3 linked regions of the Pelodiscus sinensis genome follow. The protein of the gene in region 3 purifies or fractionates together with the protein of the main gene of each other region. This does not show direct contact. Links are inferred from orthologs where the notes say so. Each region holds a gene or a part of one and is shown on either strand. Other genes may lie near its edges. The genes, in order: RAD23B, UBE3C and SEM1.

Region 1 (7,117 bases), on a different chromosome or scaffold from region 3:
TCCCCAGGCCTGAGAAATGTAAAGCTGATAGCAGTTAATCCACCTCCCTGAGAGGCAGTAGCTATGCTGATAGGAGAAGCTCTCCCACCAACATAGTGCTGCCTACATAGAGTCAGGCACTTAAAACTACGGTGCTTAGGTGTGTGAATTTGTCACACTCCTGAGCAACATAGGCCTGTGGTATAGACCCGTCTTAGTCTTAGATCCAACATACAAGGTGAAGTGGCCTGTTAACGTCCCTATATTTAGTCCTAGGATAAAAAAGGGTGGAGTTAATGAGTTACAGAGACAGATACAGGCATCTTTAAGCTCCACAGATTTTTTTTAAATCAAAATATGGCAAACAGGTCCCCTCCATGCCTAATGCTCGTTCCAAACTTCCATGTGCTCAGGCTCCTTTGTATTATGTTGTATAACACTCTACAGAGGTAGCAGCCAGGCAGGGACCATGGATACCAGCTCTTCTCCCGTCTCAACTGCTCTTCATTCATGCCCAATCCTAGACCCCCACCCCAATCTGCCCCTTTTCTCCTCCATCCTAGCTCCTTCCAACAGCCCCTTCCCTTGCAACCACAATCCCGCCTCCCCACCCGCGCAGCCCCTTTCCAGCCCATCAACCCCTTCCCGCTCCCAGCAGCCAAGCCCTAACCCAGCTCCTCAGCAGACTCACCCCCACCCAATCCCATTCCCTAAACTCAGCTCCCAATAGCCCCATCCCCAATCCCAGCTCCCCAAGCACCCCCTTTCCAGCCCGAGTCCCTTCCCTCCCTAAGCAGCCGAAACCCACAATCCCGACCGTGCCCCCAGCAGCCCTTCCCATCCCCCCAACTCCTCCCCCTTCCCAGCCACCACCCTACCCCAATCCCAGCCCCCCATCTCCCCATAATCCCAACCGCTCCCCCAATCCCAGCCCCCATCTGCCCATAATCCCAACCCCTCACCCAATCCCAGCCCCCCATCTCCCCATAATCCCCAATCCCAGCCCCCCATCTCCCCATAATCCCAACCCCTCCCCCAATCCCAGCCCCCATCTCCCCATAATCCCCAACCCCTCCCCCAATCCCAGCCCCCCATCTGCCCATAATCCCCAACCCCCCCAATCCCAGCCCCCCATCTGCCCATAATCCCCAACCCCTCCCCAATCCCAGCCCCCCATCTGCCCATAATCCCCAACCCCTCCCCCAATCCCAGCCCCCCATCTGCCCATAATCCCCAACCCCTCCCCCAATCCCAGCCCCCCATCTGCCCATAATCCCCAACCCCTCCCCAATCCCAGCCCCCCATCTGCCCATAATCCCCAACCCCTCCCCCAATCCCAGCCCCCCATCTGCCCATAATCCCCAACCCCCCCCAATCCCAGCCCCCCATCTGCCCATAATCCCCAACGCCTCCCCAATCCCAGCCCCCCATCTGCCCATAATCCCCAACCCCTCCCCCAATCCCAGCCCCCCATCTGCCCATAATCCCCAACCCCTCCCCCAATCCCAGCCCCCCATCTGCCCATAATCCCCAACCCCTCCCCAATCCCAGCCCCCCATCTGCCCATAATCCCCAACCCCTCCCCAATCCCAGCCCCCCATCTGCCCATAATCCCCTCCCCTCCCCCAATCCCAGCCCCCCATCTGCCCATAATCCCCAACCCCTCCCCAATCCCAGCCCCCCATCTGCCCATAATCCCCAACCCCTCCCCAATCCCAGCCCCCCATCTGCCCATAATCCCCAACCCCCCCCCCAATCCCAGCCCCCCATCTGCCCATAATCCCCAACCCCTCCCCCAATCCCAGCCCCCCATCTGCCCATAATCCCCAACCCCTCCCTCAATCCCAGCCCCCCATCTGCCCATAATCCCCAACCCCTCCCCCAATCCCAGCCCCCCATCTGCCCATAATCCCCAACCCCTCCCCAATCCCAGCCCCCCATCTGCCCATAATCCCCAACCCCTCCCCAATCCCAGCCCCCCATCTGCCCATAATCCCCTCCCCTCCCCCAATCCCAGCCCCCCATCTGCCCATAATCCCCAACCCCTCCCCCAATCCCAGCTCCCCATCTGCCCATAATCCCCTCCCCTCCCCCAATCCCAGCCCCCCATCTGCCCATAATCCCCAACCCCTCCCCAATCCCAGCCCCCCATCTGCCCATAATCCCCTCCCCTCCCCCAATCCCAGCCCCCCATCTGCCCATAATCCCCTCCCCTCCCCCAATCCCAGCCCCCCATCTGCCCATAATCCCCAACCCCTCCCCCAATCCCAGCCCCCCATCTGCCCATAATCCCCAACCCCTCCCCCAATCCCAGCCCCCCATCTGCCCATAATCCCCAACCCCTCCCCCAATCCCAGCCCCCCATCTGCCCATAATCCCCAACCCCTCCCCAATCCCAGCCCCCCATCTGCCCATAATCCCCAACCCCTCCCCCAATCCCAGCCCCCCATCTGCCCATAATCCCCAACCCCTCCCCCAATCCCAGCCCCCCATCTGCCCATAATCCCCAACCCCTCCCCCAATCCCAGCCCCCCATCTGCCCATAATCCCCAACCCCTCCCCCAATCCCAGCCCCCCATCTGCCCATAATCCCCAACCCCTCCCCAATCCCAGCCCCCCATCTGCCCATAATCCCCAACCCCTCCCCCAATCCCAGCCCCCCATCTGCCCATAATCCCCAACCCCTCCCCCAATCCCAGCCCCCCATCTGCCCATAATCCCCAACCCCTCCCCCAATCCCAGCCCCCCCATCTGCCCATAATCCCCAACCCCTCCCCAATCCCAGCCCCCCCTCTCCCATAATCCCCAACCCCTCCCCCAATCCCAGCCCCCCATCTGCCCATAATCCCCAACCCCTCCCCAATCCCAGCCCCCCCTCTCCCATAATCCCCAACCCCTCCCCCAATCCCAGCCCCCCATCTGCCCATAATCCCCAACCCCTCCCCAATCCCAGCCCCCCATCTGCCCATAATCCCCAACCCCTCCCCCAATCCCAGCCCCCCATCTGCCCATAATCCCCAACCCCTCCCCCAATCCCAGCCCCCCATCTGCCCATAATCCCCAACCCCTCCCCAATCCCAGCCCCCCATCTGCCCATAATCCCCTCCCCTCCCCCAATCCCAGCCCCCCATCTGCCCATAATCCCCAACCCCTCCCCAATCCCAGCCCCCCATCTGCCCATAATCCCCAACCCCTCCCCCAATCCCAGCCCCCCATCTGCCCATAATCCCCAACCCCTCCCCCAATCCCAGCCCCCCATCTGCCCATAATCCCCAACCCCTCCCCCAATCCCAGCCCCCCATCTGCCCATAATCCCCAACCCCTCCCCAATCCCAGCCCCCCATCTGCCCATAATCCCCAACCCCTCCCCCAATCCCAGCCCCCCATCTGCCCATAATCCCCAACCCCTCCCCCAATCCCAGCCCCCCATCTGCCCATAATCCCCAACCCCTCCCCAATCCCAGCCCCCCCTCTCCCATAATCCCCTCCCCTCCCCCAATCCCAGCCCCCCATCTGCCCATAATCCCCAACCCCTCCCCAATCCCAGCCCCCCATCTGCCCATAATCCCCAACCCCTCCCCAATCCCAGCCCCCCATCTGCCCATAATCCCCAACCCCTCCCCCAATCCCAGCCCCCCATCTGCCCATAATCCCCAACCCCTCCCCAATCCCAGCCCCCCATCTGCCCATAATCCCCAACCCCTCCCCCAATCCCAGCCCCCCATCTGCCCATAATCCCCAACCCCTCCCCCAATCCCAGCCCCCCATCTGCCCATAATCCCCAACCCCTCCCCAATCCCAGCCCCCCATCTGCCCATAATCCCCAACCCCCCCTACTCTTCCCCCTCCTCATCCCCTCCCCCCCGCAACCGACCCCCCCAGCAGCCCCCACTCCCAACGCCTCCCTATCCCCCCACCCACTCCCCAAATCCCAGCCCCACAACCGAACCCCTCCCCCCCCCATTCCCACTTCCCCCTTCGCTCCTCCCCCGCCCGCGCCGAATTCCGCCCCGCACATGCGCCCCAGGCCGCCGGCCTCCCGCGCGTGCGCAGGGGGAGCGTGTCCCTGCGCCTCCCCGCTCCCTCCTGGTGTCTTGTGCAGGGGGCTGCGGAGGCGAGTCATGATGGCGGCGGCCAGGCCGTGAGGCGCGCGAGACCTGCCCCCGCCCTCCCGCGCGCCCCCGCCCCCCTCCCGCGCGCCCAGCCGAGCGAGCGGCGCCCCCCCCTCCCCCGCGCGCCGGGGCTGAGGCAGCGCGAGCGGGTCCGGGAGGCGCAGGCCGCGAGCGCGGGGCGGCCGGGCCGGGCCCCGGGGCGCGGCCTCGCCATGCAGATCACCCTGAAAACCCTGCAGCAGCAGACCTTCCGCATCGACATCGACCCCGAGCACACGGTGCGCCCGCCCGGCGGGGGGGGAGGGGTAAGGGGGTGAGGGAGGGAGGGAGGGAGGGGGCTGGGGTAAGGGGGTTGAGCATGGGGGGGTGAGGGAGGGGGCTGGGGTAAGGGGGTGAGGGAGGGGGCTGGGGTAAGGGGGTTGAGCATGGGGGGGTGAGGGAGGGGGCTGGGGTAAGGGGGGTGAGGGAGGGGGCTGGGGTAAGGGGGTTGAGCATGGGGGGGTGAGGGAGGGGGCTGGGGTAAGGGGGTGAGGGAGGGGGCTGGGGTAAGGGGGTTGAGCATGGGGGGGTGAGGGAGGGGGCTGGGGTAAGGGGGTGAGGGAGGGGGCTGGGGTAAGGGGGTTGAGCATGGGGGGGTGAGGGAGGGGGCTGGGGTAAGGGGGTGAGGGAGGGGGCTGGGGTAAGGGGGGTGAGCATGGGGGGGTGAGGGAGGGGGCTGGGGTAAGGGGGGTGAGGGAGGGGGCTGGGGTAAGGGGGTTGAGCATGGGGGGGTGAGGGAGGGGGCTGGGGTAAGGGGGTGAGGGAGGGGGCTGGGGTAAGGGGGTTGAGCATGGGGGGGTGAGGGAGGGGGCTGGGGTAAGGGGGTGAGGGAGGGGGCTGGGGTAAGGGGGTTGAGCATGGGGGGGTGAGGGAGGGGGCTGGGGTAAGGGGGTGAGGGAGGGGGCTGGGGTAAGGGGGTTGGGCGTGGGGGAGTGAGGGAGGGGGTTGAGCATGGAGGGTGAGGGAGGGGGCTGGGGTAAGGGGGTTGAGCATGGGGGGGTGAGGGAGGGGGCTGGGGTAAGGGAGTGAGGGAGGGGGCTGGGGTAAGGGGGTTGAGCATGGGGGGGTGAGGGAGGGGGCTGGGGTAAGGGGGTGAGGGAGGGGGCTGGGGTAAGGGGGTTGAGCATGGGGGGGTGAGGGAGGGGGCTGGGGTAAGGGGGTGGGGCGTGGGGGAGTGAGGGAGGGGGTTGAGCATGGAGGGTGAGGGAGGGGGCTGGGGTAAGAGGGGGTTAGGTTGAGGAAGGGGTTGGGTAAGAGGGGATTAGGGTGAGGGAGGGGGTTGAGCATGGGGGGGTGAGGGAGGGGGCTGGGGTAAGAGGGGTTTAGGGTGAAGAAGGGGTTGGGGTAAGGGGGTTGGGCATGGGGGGTGAGGGAGCGGGCTGGGGTAAGAGGGGTTTAGGGTGAAGAAGGGGTTGGGGTAAGGGGGGTGAGGGAGGAGGTTGGGGTAAGGGGGTTGGGCATGGGGGAGTGAGGGAGGGGGTTGGGCGTGGGGAAGTGAGGGAGGGGGTTGAGCATGGAGGGTGAGGGAGGGGGCTGGGGTAAGAGGGGGTTAGGTTGAGGAAGGGGTTGGGTAAGAGGGGATTAGGGTGAGGGAGGGGGTTGAGCATGGGGGGGTGAGGGAGGGGGCTGGGGTAAGAGGGGTTGGGTAAGAGGGGATTAGGGTGAGGGAGGGGGTTGGGGTAAGGGGGTTGAGCATGGGGGGTGAGGGAGGGGGCTGGGGTAAGAGGGGGTTAGGGTGAAGAAGGGGTTGGGGTAAGGGGGTTGGGCATGGGGGGTGAGGGAGGAGGTTGGGTTAAGAGGGGTTAGGGTAAGGAAGGCGTTGGGGTAAGGGGGCTGGGCATGGGGGGGTGAGGAAGGGGGTTGGGTATGAGGGGAAGGGGGGGAGGTTAGCTGCAGCCCCAGCTTGTGTGTGGTGGTGACGACCCTTTCTGCAGGGCTTGGGTATCTGTGGGTGGCATTGGGGTGACTAGAGCACTTCTGCTGGGTGAGGCTGCCTGCGTTGGGAGGCTCAGGAAGGGGCCTGTGTATGTCTGTGGGGTTGGTGAATGCGTGGAGACTATTGGCTGCTCAGGGGTGCAGGTTATTGTGTCTACTTCTCTTCTGTGAAGGGAGTATTTTGGGAGTGGTTACTGGTTCTGCTGGGTGTGAATGGAGATACACAAGCTTCTGCTACAGGAGGCGGGGTGTGTGTTGGGGTGTGTCTGATTTTACTAGCCTTTTTGACATTAGTTGTAGTGACTGCTCTTTAGTGGGGGTGTGTAAGTGGGGTAAATCTACTGACTACTCTAGTGAGTGCTTCTCTGCAAGATGCTGGGGGACAGATGTTATTGCAAAGTCCAGTTCATATGGGAATAGTGTGTGTGACTAAGAGGAAGATTAGGTACTTAGTGCACTTCCAAAATTGGAGGGGGACTAGGTGCCCTTTCAAAGAGGAGTGTGGATGCAGCCTTTTGGAGCTAGTTTCCCCGTGTTATACCAATCCTGATGCCATCTAACACCCCATTTGGATTGTAGTGGATCTTTTCCAATCCTTGCCCATTAGGACTGAGCAATGAAACCATGACTCTGCCTTACTATTTCCCTAGGCCTGATTGTTTAAACACCCTCCCCCCCAAAGTAAAAGAAAAAATGGAGTGTTGTGAAGGGTGGCTGCAGCCAGCTCACAAGGGTGATTGGGTCTAGACAAGTTGGCTGAGGGAGAATGTCTAATTTAAATGTACACAGTAGAGTCCTTCATAAGCTTAAAACACTAGCCTTTATAATTAATCCCTACACGGAGAGCTGCCTTCTCTTTTTATTCCCTTTCTCCCCTGCTCATCATATTGAGTGATTTGGAGCAACTCTGAGGTCCTAGGAAACCTCTGCAAGGAGCAGATTAGGGGAGTAGGTTTGCCAGCTAGACAAGCTGTGTGTGCATTTGAGATTATAGAAGTACAGTATTGGCTAGGTGTTGGAGGATGGGGAAGAAGAATGGTTTCTTCAGTTGC
Region 2 (7,542 bases), about 29 Mb from region 3:
TGCTTGGTGTGAAGGTGACTTTAACCTGTAAATTAGATGTTTATCTATGCATAGGAGATTTTCATATTCCTGTTTTTTTTATGTGTCTTCGTATACAATAACCATATCAGGCTCAGCTGTAAACTACCTCTTTGTCCAGTTTTAGATTCACCTTTAAAGGCTTTTTTGTGATAATAAACTTTTAATTCTAGTTGTTTAATAGACTTTACATCTAATCAGGCAATCGCCCCATGTTTATATTCATAATAATGCACCTGTTATTAGAGGAATTTAATAATGGGAACATATTCAAGACTTTGAAATAAGGCTATAAGGACCATAATAAATAACACCCCCAAACAGCTGCTACATAATATTCATTGCAAAATATATAAAATTAAAACTTTATAACCAATAGCCTTTGGCAAATTAATGTACTATGTATTACTACGTTTTAAAAGAACCCCTTTATAAAAATGAAGCAAAGATTTGAAAGTGGTGCAAGTAAGACATGGCGAAAGCAAAAGTGAAACGGCAGTTAAGAGTTTAATGCCAATAGCATAATTTCTTGTAGAAAAGACTCCTCAATCATTAGACAAACTATACTGACAATGGTGATAGAAATGTAGCCGTGTTAGTCTGGGGTAGCTGAAGCAAAATGCAGGACAATGTAGCACTTTAAAGACTAACAAGATGGTTTATTAGATGAGCTTTCGTGGGCCAGACCCACTTCCTCAGATCAAATAGTGGAAGAAAGTAGTCACAACCATATATACCAAAGGATACAATTAAAAAAATGAACAAATATGAAAAGGACAAATCACATTGCAGAACAGGAAGGGGATGCGGGGGGGGGGGGGGGGGGGAAGGAAGGAAGGTAAGTGTCTGTGAATTGATGATATTAGAGGTAGGGAGAGCGGGATGTTTGTGAGTTAATGGTATTAGAGGTGATAATTGGGGAAACTATCTTGGTAATCGGTGAGATAGTTCAAGTGTTTGTTGAGTCCTTTTTGGAAAGTGTCGAATTTTAACATGAATGACAGTTCAGAGGATTCCCTTTCAAGTGCAGATGTAAAAGGTCTTTGTAGCAGAATGCAGGTGGTTAAGTCATTGAGAGAGTGTCCTTTCTGGTTAAAATGGCAAGAAACTGTTTTTTCTTTGTGATCTTGTCTGATATCTGTTTTGTGGGCATTAATCCTTTGGCGAAGTGTCTGAGATGTTTGTCCAATGTACATAGCAGACGGACACTTTCGGCACATGATAGCATAGATTATATTTCTGGATGCGCAGGAATATGTGTTCTTGATCTTATAACTCACTTGGTTAGGTCCAATAATGGTATCAGCAGAATGAATATGTGGACAAAGCTGGCAACGGGGTTTGTTGCAAGGGAAGGTACCAGGGTTGGTATTAGTGTGGTATGTCCTGTGGTGGTTGGTAAGAATCATCTTGAGGTTAGGTGGTTGTCTATAGGAGACTATGGGTCTGTCTCCCAGAGCCTCTTTGAGTATGGTATCCTGTTCCAGTATAGGCTGTAGTTTATTGATAATGTGTTGGACAGGTTTAAGTTGGGGGTTGTAGGTGCCATTTTAACCAGAAAGGACACTCTCTCAATGACTTAACCACCTGCATTCTGCTACAAAGACCTTTTACATCTGCACTTGAAAGGGAATCCTCTGAACTGTCATTCATGTTAAAATTCGACACTTTCCAAAAAGGACTCAACAAACACTTGAACTATCTCACCCATTACCAAGATAGTTTCCCCAATTATCACCTCTAATACCATTAACTCACAAACATCCCACTCTCCCTACCTCTAATATCATCAATTCACAGACACTTACCTTCCTTCCTTCCCTCCCCTCCCCTGCATCCCCTTCCTGTTCTGCAATGTGATTTGTCCTTTTCATATTTGTTCATTTTTTTAATTGTATCCTTTGGTATATATGGTTGTGACTACTTTCTTCCACTATTTGATCTGAGGAAGTGGGTCTGGCCCACGAAAGCTCATCATCTAATATACTGACAATGACACTTCCAGTTCTGATGATGAAAACTTTGTACCCACAAATGACAATTCAATGCCGCTACCTCAAAATGAGTAAATAATAACTCAAAATGAGTAAATGGTAGCGAGAGATGCAGAATCTGCGTCGATTTAGAGACTGTACAGGCAGAAAATGAGAACCTTGGAGATGTTATGAAGCAAAAGCAAGAACTTATGACTAGCACAGGACATAGTATAACAACAGCGGCATCAGAACCTGATATTGGACTTCTTGCATTTTTGCTCAAATGCAGTCATTTCTCTAAGTTAATTGTTTTCAGATTCCAAGTTGTATACCGAAAGATGCTGAAAATCATGCTTTTCCCACTCATTTGCTGACAAAAACTCTTCCGAAGGGAGATGATACAGAAAATGATAAATAGAAAAAACTCCTTGAGCTGGTTTTGAATGTCATTCTTTTTCTTTCTGAATGGGGATTGGCTTTGTTTGATTCCAGTCATTGTATGGGTAACCCTACAAACGGAAACTTACTTGGTCTACTTGAGATTCTTAGCAAATATGACCCACTTTTATCAGGCCATGTTATGCGTGTTCGTGAATCACAAGAGAGCGGAAAATGCATGCAAGTCCATTTTCTGTCTACTAGAATACAAAATGAGTTTATTAAGCTGTGTGGAACATTTGTGCAAACAACAATTCTTGAAGAAATATGACATGCGAAATACTTTTAAATTATTATTGATGCAACTCCAAACTGTTTTTATAAAGAACAGATGACCTTGGTTGTTCAATTTGTTAAAACTTCAGAAAGTTCAAAGGTTTCAATTGAAGAACAATTCATTTTGTTTGATAATTTCACAAAAAAACTGGAAAATAAATCGCTGCTCATGTATTAGAAATTCTGGAAGGCTTCAAATTCCATTTTCAAGTCTGCATTGGCCAAGACTATGACAATGGATCCAATATGACTGGGAAGTACAATGGAGGACAAGCAGTCCTTCTTGAGCAAAATCCAAACTGAATTTTCTCCAGTTGTGGCAACCACGCACTAAATCTTATCGGCATTGATTGCTCTGAATCATGCAAGGAAGCAATCACATACTTTGGAACAATCCAACAGTTTTACAACCTCTTCCAGTAGCAGTCCTCAAAATTGGGAAATTCTAAAGCAGATTGAATCTTTTACTCTCACAGAACAGGCTTGCACTGAGTTTATGTCAGCAGAGAAGTATATATCCAAATCTGAATGCATTTTAATGTCATCCATATGGATGAAGCTGCTACAAATGATCCATGAAACTAATCTTGTAATTGAAGCACGCAATGCTACATTAGATGTTGAGAGGGATAGCACTGAATGACTTCTTACAGATATTCAAGAGATTTGTGATCAATGGAATGCAATCCTTTGAGTCCAAATCAGTAGCATGGGATATTGACATTTCATCTGAGTTTTCCACCAATCACACCCTAACATCTCAATTTGATGCATAAAGGCACTATTGAGTCATTTTTTTTTTATTATTGACTCCATCAAATCTGGTCTTACACGTCTATTTGAGTCACTACTACAAATTTGTACCTTTTTTAGATTCCTTTGGGAGTTCAGAGAACTAAGTGATGAAGATCTATATTCAGCAGCAGAGCAGTCTCAAGAAATGTACAATGAAATGTCAAGAAAGCTCTGACACAAGACCGTCTTCCTGAAACATATACATTCCGCTTACTTTAAATCAGACTGCAAGCCAAAAACTGCTTCCAGAAATATTCGATCTTGGCCTGTCGACTGTATTTCTTAGTATCACAATTGCATTACCTATTTTTGTCAGTCTTCCTGCATCAATGGCTGAATGCACAGTCAACATGTTAAAACAAGTGAAGAACTATGGTTCTACAATGGGACAAGAGCATTTGAGTGGGCTCGCCATGCTTAACATAAAAGGTGAGGTTGCACATACATTAGATTTTTCTTCAAATATAAACAAGTGTGCACCCAACAAAGCCAGAAAAAGCATTGCTAAAATGAAGAGTTTTGCTGGCAGTGGAAACTCACACTTAAAGTTACATTTTTAATATACATGGTCTTGTTAATAAACACGTCTCAAGTGTTCGTTTTCATATAGTCTTTGGGTTTTAGTGTAGTCCCCTTAGTATGACCCTGTGGATGAGAAGTTAGGTCAGGGCGCTGGGCAGGCGCCGCTGAACTCAAAGTGGCCCAGCCCTCTGTCGTTCTCTGAGCGGGCCTGCCTACAGCGCTGCTGTGCTGAAGGGGCAAAGGGCTCGGCGGGGTGGATTTGAGGCCAGGAAGGGCCCTGCTTAGAGCACAGGCTCCTTCACGGTGCTCATCCCCGCTCCCGGGCCGTGGCCACGGCTGGCGGGTGCCGAGGGGCTGCGCCACCGACGCGGGGCGGCACGGCCACCAGCGCCCTGAGGCTGGGCCTCTGACGAGCTCCAGGGGGCCGGGCGCGCGCTGCAGGCAGCCCGCGCGCGTTCCGGGCGGCTGCGGCGGGGCCGCGCGCCGATTGGCTGGGACGCGGGAACGCGCAGAGGGAGCTGGTCGGCGGCCATCTTCTCTCCGGAGCCGGCTGATTCGTAGTGCAAGTGAAGCAGCCGCGCCAGCCCCCTCCCCCCGCCCGGAGCAGTAGCTGGTGGTCCGAGAGGGGGGGCTTAGGGAAGCGAGGGAGCGAGTGGGTGTGTGTGTGGGGAGAGCAGCCCCTCCCGGCCGGGGGTCGCCCGGCGATCGCCGCAGGAGGCAGCAGCGAAGGTGGCACTGGGGTGGCCGGGCTGGTGCCTCCCCTGGGCGGGCAGCGGCTGCCCATTCCCCAGCCCCGCTCGCGGCCCCGGTGCAGCGTCAGCCTGGGAGGCAGCGGGGACGCCGCTCTCGATGGGATAAGCTGTAACCATGTTCAGCTTCGAAGGGGATTTCAAAACCAGGCCCAAGGTGTCTCTTGGAGGAGCAAGTAGGAAGGTAAGAGCCGCGCTGGGTCTCTCTGAATTCTGTATCCTGGCTGATGTCCCTCGCCTGCCTGCTTTGCTTTTTGCGCCCCGCTGCTGGGCCTTCAAATGGAGCAGGTGTGACTCAGGGCTCCTCGGGGCCAACAAAACCTGTCCCCACTCCCAGAGAGGGTGTGTTTTTGTGTTTTAAATCAGGCCACGCACCCCTCAAAGCTCCAGGTGCATTCACAAGTATGCGAGAGAAATTACACTACTCCTCTTTGACTCCCCCTCCTCCGCCCCTCCAAGTGATCCGGTTTGTTGTGGGAACCACGCTTGGAGCAGATAGTTTCTAGGGCGCTTTGAGTGAAGGGAAATAGTTAAGAATGTCTGTCGTGTCTTTTAAAGAAAAGACTTAATTGAAACACACAACAAAAATCATGCGCCAATCATGGGGGACGGAAATGCTTGTAAAACTTAATGGAAGCTCCAGGGGCCTCCATCACAAATGGTTTAGGGTTGTCAGGTCCCGATTTTACCCCTTTCACCACCGAGTTTGCATTCAAATGGCAAACTGAAATCAGTGTGTCATGTGCTGAGTAAGGAGCAGTCAGTAGATGATGTTGTTTTACTAGAGTATTGCCTAAAAGGACGTTAAATGGTTTAGTTAAGGCTTGCTGGTTGGAAAGACTATAAGTAACTTTTGTCAGCCACAGAATTCTCAGACCAAATTCCAAAACAAAGTTTTTGGAAGCAGTTTGATTGATGAGGTGTGCATCCCTGGTTAATCAGTTAGATTCAAGTTCTGACTGTCATGATCATTATAATGGGGTTAGCTGTTTGAGCGTTGGTGTAGTGTATTTGTTTTATTGTTCAACAAATAAAGATTTGGGAAAGTGTTTGTTGTTTTGGGACTCCAGGTTTGGCAGTAAGCTTTTAAGTCTCTCCTAATAAGAGAAACTTGTTACCTGATAGAAAAGTTCACTGTGAATTTACTATCACAGTATTGTCTGCTGCATATTTTCATAAAGAAAATGTACATCATAACTGTATTAAGTGTGTGTAACTATTCACTTGAATTATGGAGAAACTACCTTCTTTTGACATCTCTGATGACTAAAAGCCATTTATGGTCATTAGACCACATACATGACATTATGTTTTTTGTATGCCAAAAGTAGAATAAATCTTAATAGGTAATAGTGGTAATTGGCAGAGCATGCCCTGCTCTTCAGGAATGTATTTTAGGTATTTTACATCCCTTGGCATCGCATTATGATTGCTAAAAGAATTTTTCCTGCTCCAGAAAGAGAAAAAAGTATATAATCTTCTAATACTGTTATTATTTTCTCTAGTTTATGCAAATTGCAATTGGATTTTTAATCATGGTGGATTAGAATAATATTGTTCTCATATATTCTAAATTAACACACACAAAGTTTAAATTCCTATATGGGTAAATTTGCCAGGATAAATGTTCAAAAATTAAGGAAATGTGAAAGCCGAGATTGAGTATACAACTCTGTCCCATACCCACACCACTTCTGCAATCTGATCTAGATGGGTGGGTGTAATTGACTTAAGTAGCTCCACTTTTGTGCAAGTATCTGACCTTATAGATCTATTTAGTGCTTGTGTTATCAGTGGGTCTAATCAAGTAAAGTTACTCACAGTTTTCAATATGAATATGGGCACCATAGGAGGCTCTAATATAGATGCGTGTTTTTAAAAAAGTACAGGATTTGGTGAAGTTAATATTAAAATTTGTCATGTCACATGAAAAATATAGATTATCACACTTTCTGCATAACATGACATGCTATAGTAGATATATTAGTTTGGCAAATATTTTCATGGAGTTTAGGAATTGTGCATTTTGCTATTTTTTCTGATACTACGTAATAGATTTTTGTGGGTAATTTCCCCAATACTAATGGGTTCCAGCTGTACAAAATCCAAAATCAGTTTCTTGTCTCAACTCTTTCTGAAAATTTGAACTATTCTTTGGCATAAACTATCCCATCCCCAAGTACTTTAAAAAAAAAATCAGTTAAAAGCTCTAATCCTGCAAAAGTTAGTACCCAGGCAGCCTGGCACCAGTGCAGAGCTCCATTGAAGTCCAGCCAAGCTGTGTATGGGTGCATGATTGATACAATTGCAGGATTTGAGCTCAAATAAATGGTACTGTTTATGTATACAGACTGTCTAGTTTTAAAATTAAGATGTTCAAGGGATATTTTGCTGGTATAGTTATGTTGGTACAGGAGGCCCCAGACTTGCGACCGCCTGAGTTCTGACCCCTGCACTTACAACCATTTTTGCAAGTGTGGAAGGGGCTGGAACCGCCCAACTTACGTCTTTGGCCCACATTTACGATGGCACATGGTGCCTATTGTAAATGAGGATCAAGTTACGACACCCCCGTCTTGCAGTGCTTCCCCCAGAACCAATTGCGTTGCAAGTTGGGGGCCTCCTGTATAGCCAAAGTAGCAAAACACTTGTAGTCTAGGTTCATAAACTATACTAGCATAGTCACGTGCATCTGATGAAGTGGTTTTGATCCATGAAAGCTTATGCCAAATAAATCTGTTAGTCTTTAAGATGCCACAGGATTCCTC
Region 3 (7,076 bases):
GCTGACAGGGGTGGGGCTGGTCACAAGAGCCAGTGCAGTGCCCATTGTGTTCATGTGTGGCAGCTGGGGGATGCGCAGAAGTCCCCTTCAGAATCTCCACCTACTTCCTCATCTTTCTCTAACTAAACCTGCCTTTCCTCAAGCACCAACATTCAAGGTTAAATAAAAAAAATATTTTGACCGTATTTCATTAAAAATATACTGTATTTCAGCTACATTATGGATTAAATAGGCTTTCATGGGCTAGCCTGGGAACCTAACCACCTGACATTGTTTCTATGGGAAAATGTGTTCCGAATTCCAAACAACTGACTTATAAACAAACTTTTGGAATTCAAGCTGTTCATAAGCTGGGGAGTTCCTGTACTAGGAAGAGAGGGATGGGTGATGGGGATGGCATTAAAAAATGGAAGAGGAAAGAATGGCAAAGAAAATCATCAGACAATGTAGCTGAAGAGAGTGGGAAGAGGAAAGGAAATGATGGTGAGAGATGGCTGTTGGGGAGAGGTAAATGGAAAGGCTGGAAGGAGGGATGGTGGGAGCAGTGTGGGAGGTGGCAGTGGCAGAGGTGAGGAATCAAGTGCGGGCTGGAAGGAGAATGTGGGACTGGTGGGGAGGCAGCAGTAGCCAAGGGGAAGGAGCAGTGTGGGGTGGAAGGAAAATGTTGATGCAGGGTGGGAGGTGGCAGTGGGAATGGAAAGGGGAAGATGCAAAATGGAGGGAAGGCAAGGCAGCAGTGGCTGAGAGGAGGGAGTAGTGCAGGTGGGAAGGGGGGTGCAAGAAAGGGAAAGGCAGCACTAGGAGGGAAGAAGGGAGCAGGGAGCAGCGATGGCTATGGGGAGGAAGAAGTGGGGGTGGGAAGAGGTGGGAGCAGAGAGAGGCAGCAGTGGCTGAAGGAAGGGAGCAGTGGAAGGGAAGGAGGAAGCGGGGGTGGCAGTGGCTATGGGGAGGGAGCAGTGGGGGAAAGGAGGGAGCAGTGGGAGGTGGCAGTGACAGAGAGGAAGGAGCAGTGGGGCAGGGGCAAGGCGGCAGTGGCAGACGGGAAGGAACAGTGGTGGGAGCAGGGGGGAGGTAGCAATGGCTGAGGGGAGGGAACAGCGGGGGTAGGAGCAGAGGGGAGGCGGCATGACTGAGGGAAGGGAGCAGGGAGAGGCAGCAGTAGCTAAGGGGAGGGAGCAATGGGGAGGTGGCAGTTGCTGAGGGGAGAAGCAGAGGGAGGCAGCAGTGGCTGAGGGGAGGGAACGGGGGAAGTGGCAGTAGCTGAGGGGAGGGAGCAGGGAGAGGAAGCAGTGGCTAAAGGAATGCAGCAGTTGGGCTGGGAAGAGGGAGTAGGGGAGAGGTGGAAGTGGCAGAGGGGAAGGAGCAGTGGTGTAGGGAGAAGGTGGCAGTGGCAGAGGGGAAGGTGGCAGTGGTGTAGGGAGAAGGCAGCAGTGGCAGAGGGGAAGGAGCAGTGGTGTAGGGAGAAGGTGGCAGTGGCAGAGGGGAAGGTGGCAGTGGTGTAGGGAGAAGGCGGCAGTGGCAGAGGGGAAGGAGCAGTGGTGTAGGGGGAAGGCGGCAGTGGCAGAGGGGAAGGAGCAGTGGTGGTAGGAAACAGGTGGAAGCGGGGGGAAGTGGCAATGGCTCAGGGGAGGGAGCAAGGGGAGGCAGCAGTGGCTGAGGGGAGGCAGCAGCGGGAGGCGGCAGTGGGGATGGGAAGAGGGTGGGAGCAGGGGGAAGTGACTGTGGCTGAGGAGAGGGAGCAGGGGGAGGCGGCAGCAGGGGTGGGAAGAGGGTGGGAGCAGGGGGAAGTGACTGTGGCTGAGGAGAGGGAGCAGGGGGAGGTGACAGTGGGGGTGGGAAGAGGGTGGGAGCAGGGGGAGGTGACAGTGGGGGTGGGAAGAGGGAGGGAGCAGGGGGAGGTGACAGTGGGGGTGGGAAGAGGGTGGGAGCAGGGGGAGGTGACTGTGGCTGAGGGGAGGCAGCAGCGGGAGGCAGCAATGGGGGTAGGAAGAGGGAGGGAGCAGGGGGAGGTGACAGTGGGGGGTGGGAAGAGGGAGGGAGCAGGGGGAGGTGACAGTGGAGGGGTGGGAAGAGGGAGGGAGCAGGGGGAGGTGACAGTGGGGGGGTGGGAAGAGGGTGGGAGCAGGGGGAGGTGACTGTGGGTGAGGGGAGGGAGCAGGGGGAGGTGACAGTGGGGGGTGGGAAGAGGGTGGGAGCAGGGGGAGGTGACTGTGGCTGAGAGGAGGGAGCAGGGGGAGGTGACACTGGGGGGTGGGAAGAGGGAGGGAGCAGGGGGAGGTGACAGTGGGGTGGGAAGAGGGAGGGAGCAGGGGGAGGTGACAGTGGGGGTGGGAAGAGGGTGGGAGCAGGGGGAGGTGACAGTGGGGTGGGAAGAGGGAGGGAGCAGGGGGAGGTGACTGTGGCTGAGAGGAGGGAGCAGGGGGAGGTGACAGTGGGGGGTGGGAAGAGGGTGGGAGCAGGGGGAGGTGACTGTGGGTGAGGGGAGGGAGCAGGGGGAGGTGACAGTGGGGGGTGGGAAGAGGGTGGGAGCAGGGGGAGGTGACTGTGGCTGAGAGGAGGGAGCAGGGGGAGGTGACACTGGGGGGTGGGAAGAGGGAGGGAGCAGGGGGAGGTGACAGTGGGGTGGGAAGAGGGAGGGAGCAGGGGGAGGTGACAGTGGGGGTGGGAAGAGGGTGGGAGCAGGGGGAGGTGACAGTGGGGTGGGAAGAGGGAGGGAGCAGGGGGAGGTGACTGTGGCTGAGAGGAGGGAGCAGGGGGAGGTGACAGTGGGGGGTGGGAAGAGGGTGGGAGCAGGGGGAGGTGACTGTGGGTGAGGGGAGGGAGCAGGGGGAGGTGACAGTGGGGGGTGGGAAGAGGGTGGGAGCAGGGGGAGGTGACTGTGGCTGAGAGGAGGGAGCAGGGGGAGGTGACAGTGGGGGGTGGGAAGAGGGTGGGAGCAGGGGGAGGTGACTGTGGGTGAGGGGAGGGAGCAGGGGGAGGTGACAGTGGGGTGGGAAGAGGGTGAGAGCAGGGGGAGGTGACAGTGGCTGAGAGGAGGGAGCAGGGGGAGGTGACAGTGGGGGTGGGAAGAGGGTGGGAGCAGGGGGAGGTGACTGTGGGGGTGGGAAGAGGGTGGGAGCAGGGGGAGGTGACTGTGGGGGGTGGGAAGAGGGTGGGAGCAGGGGGAGGTGACTGTGGGGGGTGGGAAGAGGGTGGGAGCAGGGGGAGGTGACTGTGGGGGGTGGGAAGAGGGAGGGAGCAGGGGGAGGTGACAGTGGGGGGTGGGAAGAGGGTGGGAGCAGGGGGAGGTGACTGTGGCTGAGAGGAGGGAGCAGGGGGAGGTGACTGTGGGGGGTGGGAAGAGGGTGGGAGCAGGGGGAGGTGACTGTGGCTGAGAGGAGGGAGCAGGGGGAGGTGACAGTGGGGGGTGGGAAGAGGGAGGGAGCAGGGGGAGGTGACTGTGGCTGAGAGGAGGGAGCAGGGGGAGGTGACAGTGGGGGTGGGAAGAGGGTGGGAGCAGGGGGAGGTGACAGTGGGGTGGTGGGAAGAGGGTGGGAGCAGGGGGAGGTGACTGTGGCTGAGAGGGGGGAGCAGGGGGAGGTGACAGTGGGGGTGGGAAGAGGGAGGGAGCAGGGGGAGGTGACAGTGGCTAAGGGGAGGGAGCAGGGGGAGGTGACAGTGGGGGTGGGAAGAGGGAGGGAGCAGGGGGAGGTGACAGTGGGGGTGGGAAGAGGGAGGGAGCAGGGGGAGGTGACAGTGGGGGTGGGAAGAGGGAGGGAGCAGGGGGAGGTGACAGTGGGGGTGGGAAGAGGGAGGGAGCAGGGGGAGGTGACAGTGGCTGAGGGGCAGCAGTGGGGCAGGGGAGGAGTGGGAGGGCACACGAAGAAGGGGGAGGGACTAGCTGTGCGCAAGAGGAGAGGGAGGGGCGGGGCTCGCTGTGCGCGAGAAGGGAAAGAGCGGGCGGGGCTGGAGCGATTGAGGGAGCAGTGAATGCGGGGAGAGGCAAGATGCTATCGCCGACTGACCAACCGAGAGACTCCGTTACGACGCATGCGCCGTTTCAAGCGCTGAGTCCGCCAGCATCCCGTCATGCCCCGCGGGGCAGTCGAGACGTAACCCCGCGGCCGGCTCGGACGCTAGAGCGGCAGTGGCCCAGGCGGATCATGTCCGAGAAGAAGCAGCCTGTGGATCTGGGGCTCCTGGAGGAGGATGACGAGTTCGAGGAGTTCCCGGCTGAAGGTGACGGCTCGGGGTTTGCCGTGGGGCCGGGGCCCGATGGGGGGGGCGCGGAAGGGGGGTGCCGGTGCCGGTGGGGTTGGGCCTCGGCTCCCTGCTCGGGCACTTGGCTCCGTTCCGCGCACAGCTGCCCGGGCTTAGTCAGCGCGCGGTGGGGCTGGCTCGCCTCCCTGCGCCGGGCCTAGGGACCGGGCTGGCGTTGCTCGCCTTTCCTGTGGGCTGCCCCATTCGTCGAAGCGAGCCCCCTGGAGCCCTGCACCCCCAAGCGCGGGTCGAGCCGCTGGCTTCTCTGCAGCCTTTCCCCAGCCGGCGGCTTTCCACACCACGTGGAGATTTCCCGTTGCAGAAACCCATGCTTGTTACTGGCTCACTTAGCCCGAGTAACTTTCTGTGAGCTCGGGCCCGTCTGCCTGCCATGCTCACAGTCCCATTCTGCCAAATCCTGACAATGTGTCTTGTCCGTGTGTGTCGAACTCTGAAAAACGAATCTGTTCTCATTAACGTTTTAAATGTATTAGGGAATAATGCAGACACATTTGTCATGCATACAGTGTTGTTTTGTGAAAGGCATTCCTAAGCCTAGACTAGCATTTTTTTCCTAATCAGAAATAAAATGTGTTCAGGAAATTCATCAGCATTCCATGTACTCAGAGAACCTCAGAGCTTCGACAGATCTGAAGAACATAGGGAAAGGGACAGCTTGGACCCCTGATTTCACTTCCTTGGACTAGAGGTGGTCAGTCCCCTTTGCTGACAGACTTTGGGGTCTGTCAGCAGATTGCCTGGGCTCCCCTGCTCTAGGGGGCTGCCAGGACTCTGTGGCGCAGCTGCAGGTCCAACAAGTTGTGACACCAGAGAAATTCAGTCTGTAGTAAAGTCTCAGAGGGGTAGCAATGTTAATCTGTAACTTAAAAAAAAAAGTGGTCCTGTTGTACCTTAGAGACTAACAAAAATTGTATATTGTATCAAGAGCTTTCGTGGGCACAACACTCATCCGAAGAAGTGGGGAGCAAGAGCCTGGCTGAAGCCTATCTCACTTTAAGCAGTTAACTGGTTAAACATTATGTTTAACCAGTTAATTGATTAAACATGATTTTACATCCCTTAGAACTAATGTGTTTCATGTTGCTGGACTTCATTAGGATTGCTTGATTTTTGCCATCATACACAATGGCTAAGAACAAATACAAACAAACATTTTGTCTAGATGACAAGATTAATAAGGGGAAGGAAAAGGAATAATGATGGATGTAAAATGAGGTCATGTGAGAGTAATAAAAGGATTCAATTACAGTAGTGGATAGCAGCTTTCTTTATGAAGTCTAAATCTTGACACACAAATTCCACTGCATTTTGATAAAAAGCTAGTGAATAAGTCTTACCTGGATTTTACTACAACCCTTCATATGTGCAGAAAAACAGTGTTATTAATAAGGAACTTTCTCTTTCAGTCTTGTAAATAAAAATGTTGTCTTAGGGATGTTAATGTGTTTATTTTGGTGAATATGTGACTGCTGAAAGTTCCAGCAGTTACACGTTTACACACCGGAGGGAGAGGAGGGACTGCTATCCAGACAGAGGCAGCAGGGTGAATGAGGGGGGAGGCTGCTCACTGCTCCTACCGACTCTGGTGCTGCTGCCTCTGATACAGAGGCAGCAGTACAGGGAAGGGTGGGGAGAGGCAGCTTTGCAGGAGCTGGTATGTGCTAGCTTTCTGTGAGCCCAGGCGGCTGTGTGTAACTCTGAGCCCTGGCTTCTCAATTAACCATGTACACATTTATGCTTTCACATCCCCAATCCTAGATTTCATCTTGGAAGACTTCAGAATAGACTTCAGAATAATGCATGATTGTCCATTTTCCTCAAGTCTTTAAAAGTTCTGCTGATTAAAGGGATGGCTTATATTGGTTAATGAAGGGAATTGCTCACATGTAGATCAGGGATTCTTAACCTTTTTCTTTGAGTACCCCCACACCTCCAACGTACTGTTAAAAACTCCATGGCCCACCGGTGCGGCAACAACTGTTTTTTCTGCATATAAAATCCAGGGCCAGTGTTATGGGGTAGTAAACAGAGCAGTTGCATGGGGCTCCATGCCACAGATTGTCCCATGAAGCTTAGTTGTTCAGGGTTCAGCCCCGGGTAGTAGGGCGTGGGGTCTGGGATTCGACCCGCTTTGTTGAGGCTTTCACTTTCTTGGGCCTCCGTGAATGTAATGTTGGCCCTGCTTAATGGTTTCCCTGAAACCAACTTGCAGGCCCCAGACTCGTGGTTGAAAACTACTGGTGTAGGTCATGTTGGGTAGGGAGGTGTTCACAATTTTTGTTATGCTGTCTTCCTCATACTTGGTGTACATTTGGAAGCCATAAAGTTATCAAATAGGTTTTATCAAATATAATATTTCCAGGAAAATCTTTAAAAACAACAAATAGTGTGGTAGCACTTTAAAGAATAACAAAACATGTAGGTTAGTAATAGAAATGTAGCCGTGTTAGTCTGGTGTAGCTGAAGCAAAATACAGGACTATGTAGCACTTTAAAGACTTTATCCTCCCCCCTCCCCCCCGCATCCCCTCCTGTTCTGAAATGTGACTTGTCCTTTTCATGTGTGTTCATTTTTTTTTAATTGTATCCTTTGGTATATATGGTTGTGACTATTTTCTTCCACTACTTGATCTGAGGAAGTGGGTCTGGCCCACGAAAGCTCATCATCTAATAAACCATCTTGTTAGTCTTTAAAGTGCTACATAGTCCTGTATTTTGCTTCAAAACATGTAGGTGGTATTGTGAGCTTTTGTGAGCACAGCTGGTCTTCTGAAGAAAGGGGCTGTGCCCACGAAAACTCATAATACCATCTACATG

The links.
Region 1: the proteins of SEM1 (region 3) and RAD23B purify together in Homo sapiens (co-immunoprecipitation; 3 studies listed by BioGRID and IntAct, with this or other methods). This does not show direct contact. The link is inferred for Pelodiscus sinensis from reciprocal best matches to the Homo sapiens genes SEM1 and RAD23B.
Region 2: the proteins of SEM1 (region 3) and UBE3C purify together in Homo sapiens (affinity purification with western blotting; 3 studies listed by BioGRID and IntAct, with this or other methods). This does not show direct contact. The link is inferred for Pelodiscus sinensis from reciprocal best matches to the Homo sapiens genes SEM1 and UBE3C.

The regions. Positions count from the first base shown.
Region 1 is NC_134716.1:6,186,305-6,193,421, forward strand, and holds the start of RAD23B (UV excision repair protein RAD23 homolog B), read left to right. Parts: upstream 1-4,089; 5' UTR 4,090-4,303; coding exon 4,304-4,369; intron 4,370-7,117. UniProt on the Homo sapiens protein: Multiubiquitin chain receptor involved in modulation of proteasomal degradation. Binds to polyubiquitin chains.
Region 2 is NC_134712.1:240,091,806-240,099,347, reverse strand, and holds the start of UBE3C (ubiquitin-protein ligase E3C), read left to right. Parts: upstream 1-4,515; 5' UTR 4,516-4,892; coding exon 4,893-4,958; intron 4,959-7,542. UniProt on the Homo sapiens protein: E3 ubiquitin-protein ligase that specifically catalyzes 'Lys-29'- and 'Lys-48'-linked polyubiquitin chains.
Region 3 is NC_134712.1:210,643,411-210,650,486, forward strand, and holds the start of SEM1 (26S proteasome complex subunit SEM1), read left to right. Parts: upstream 1-4,059; 5' UTR 4,060-4,142; coding exon 4,143-4,218; intron 4,219-7,076. UniProt on the Homo sapiens protein: Component of the 26S proteasome, a multiprotein complex involved in the ATP-dependent degradation of ubiquitinated proteins.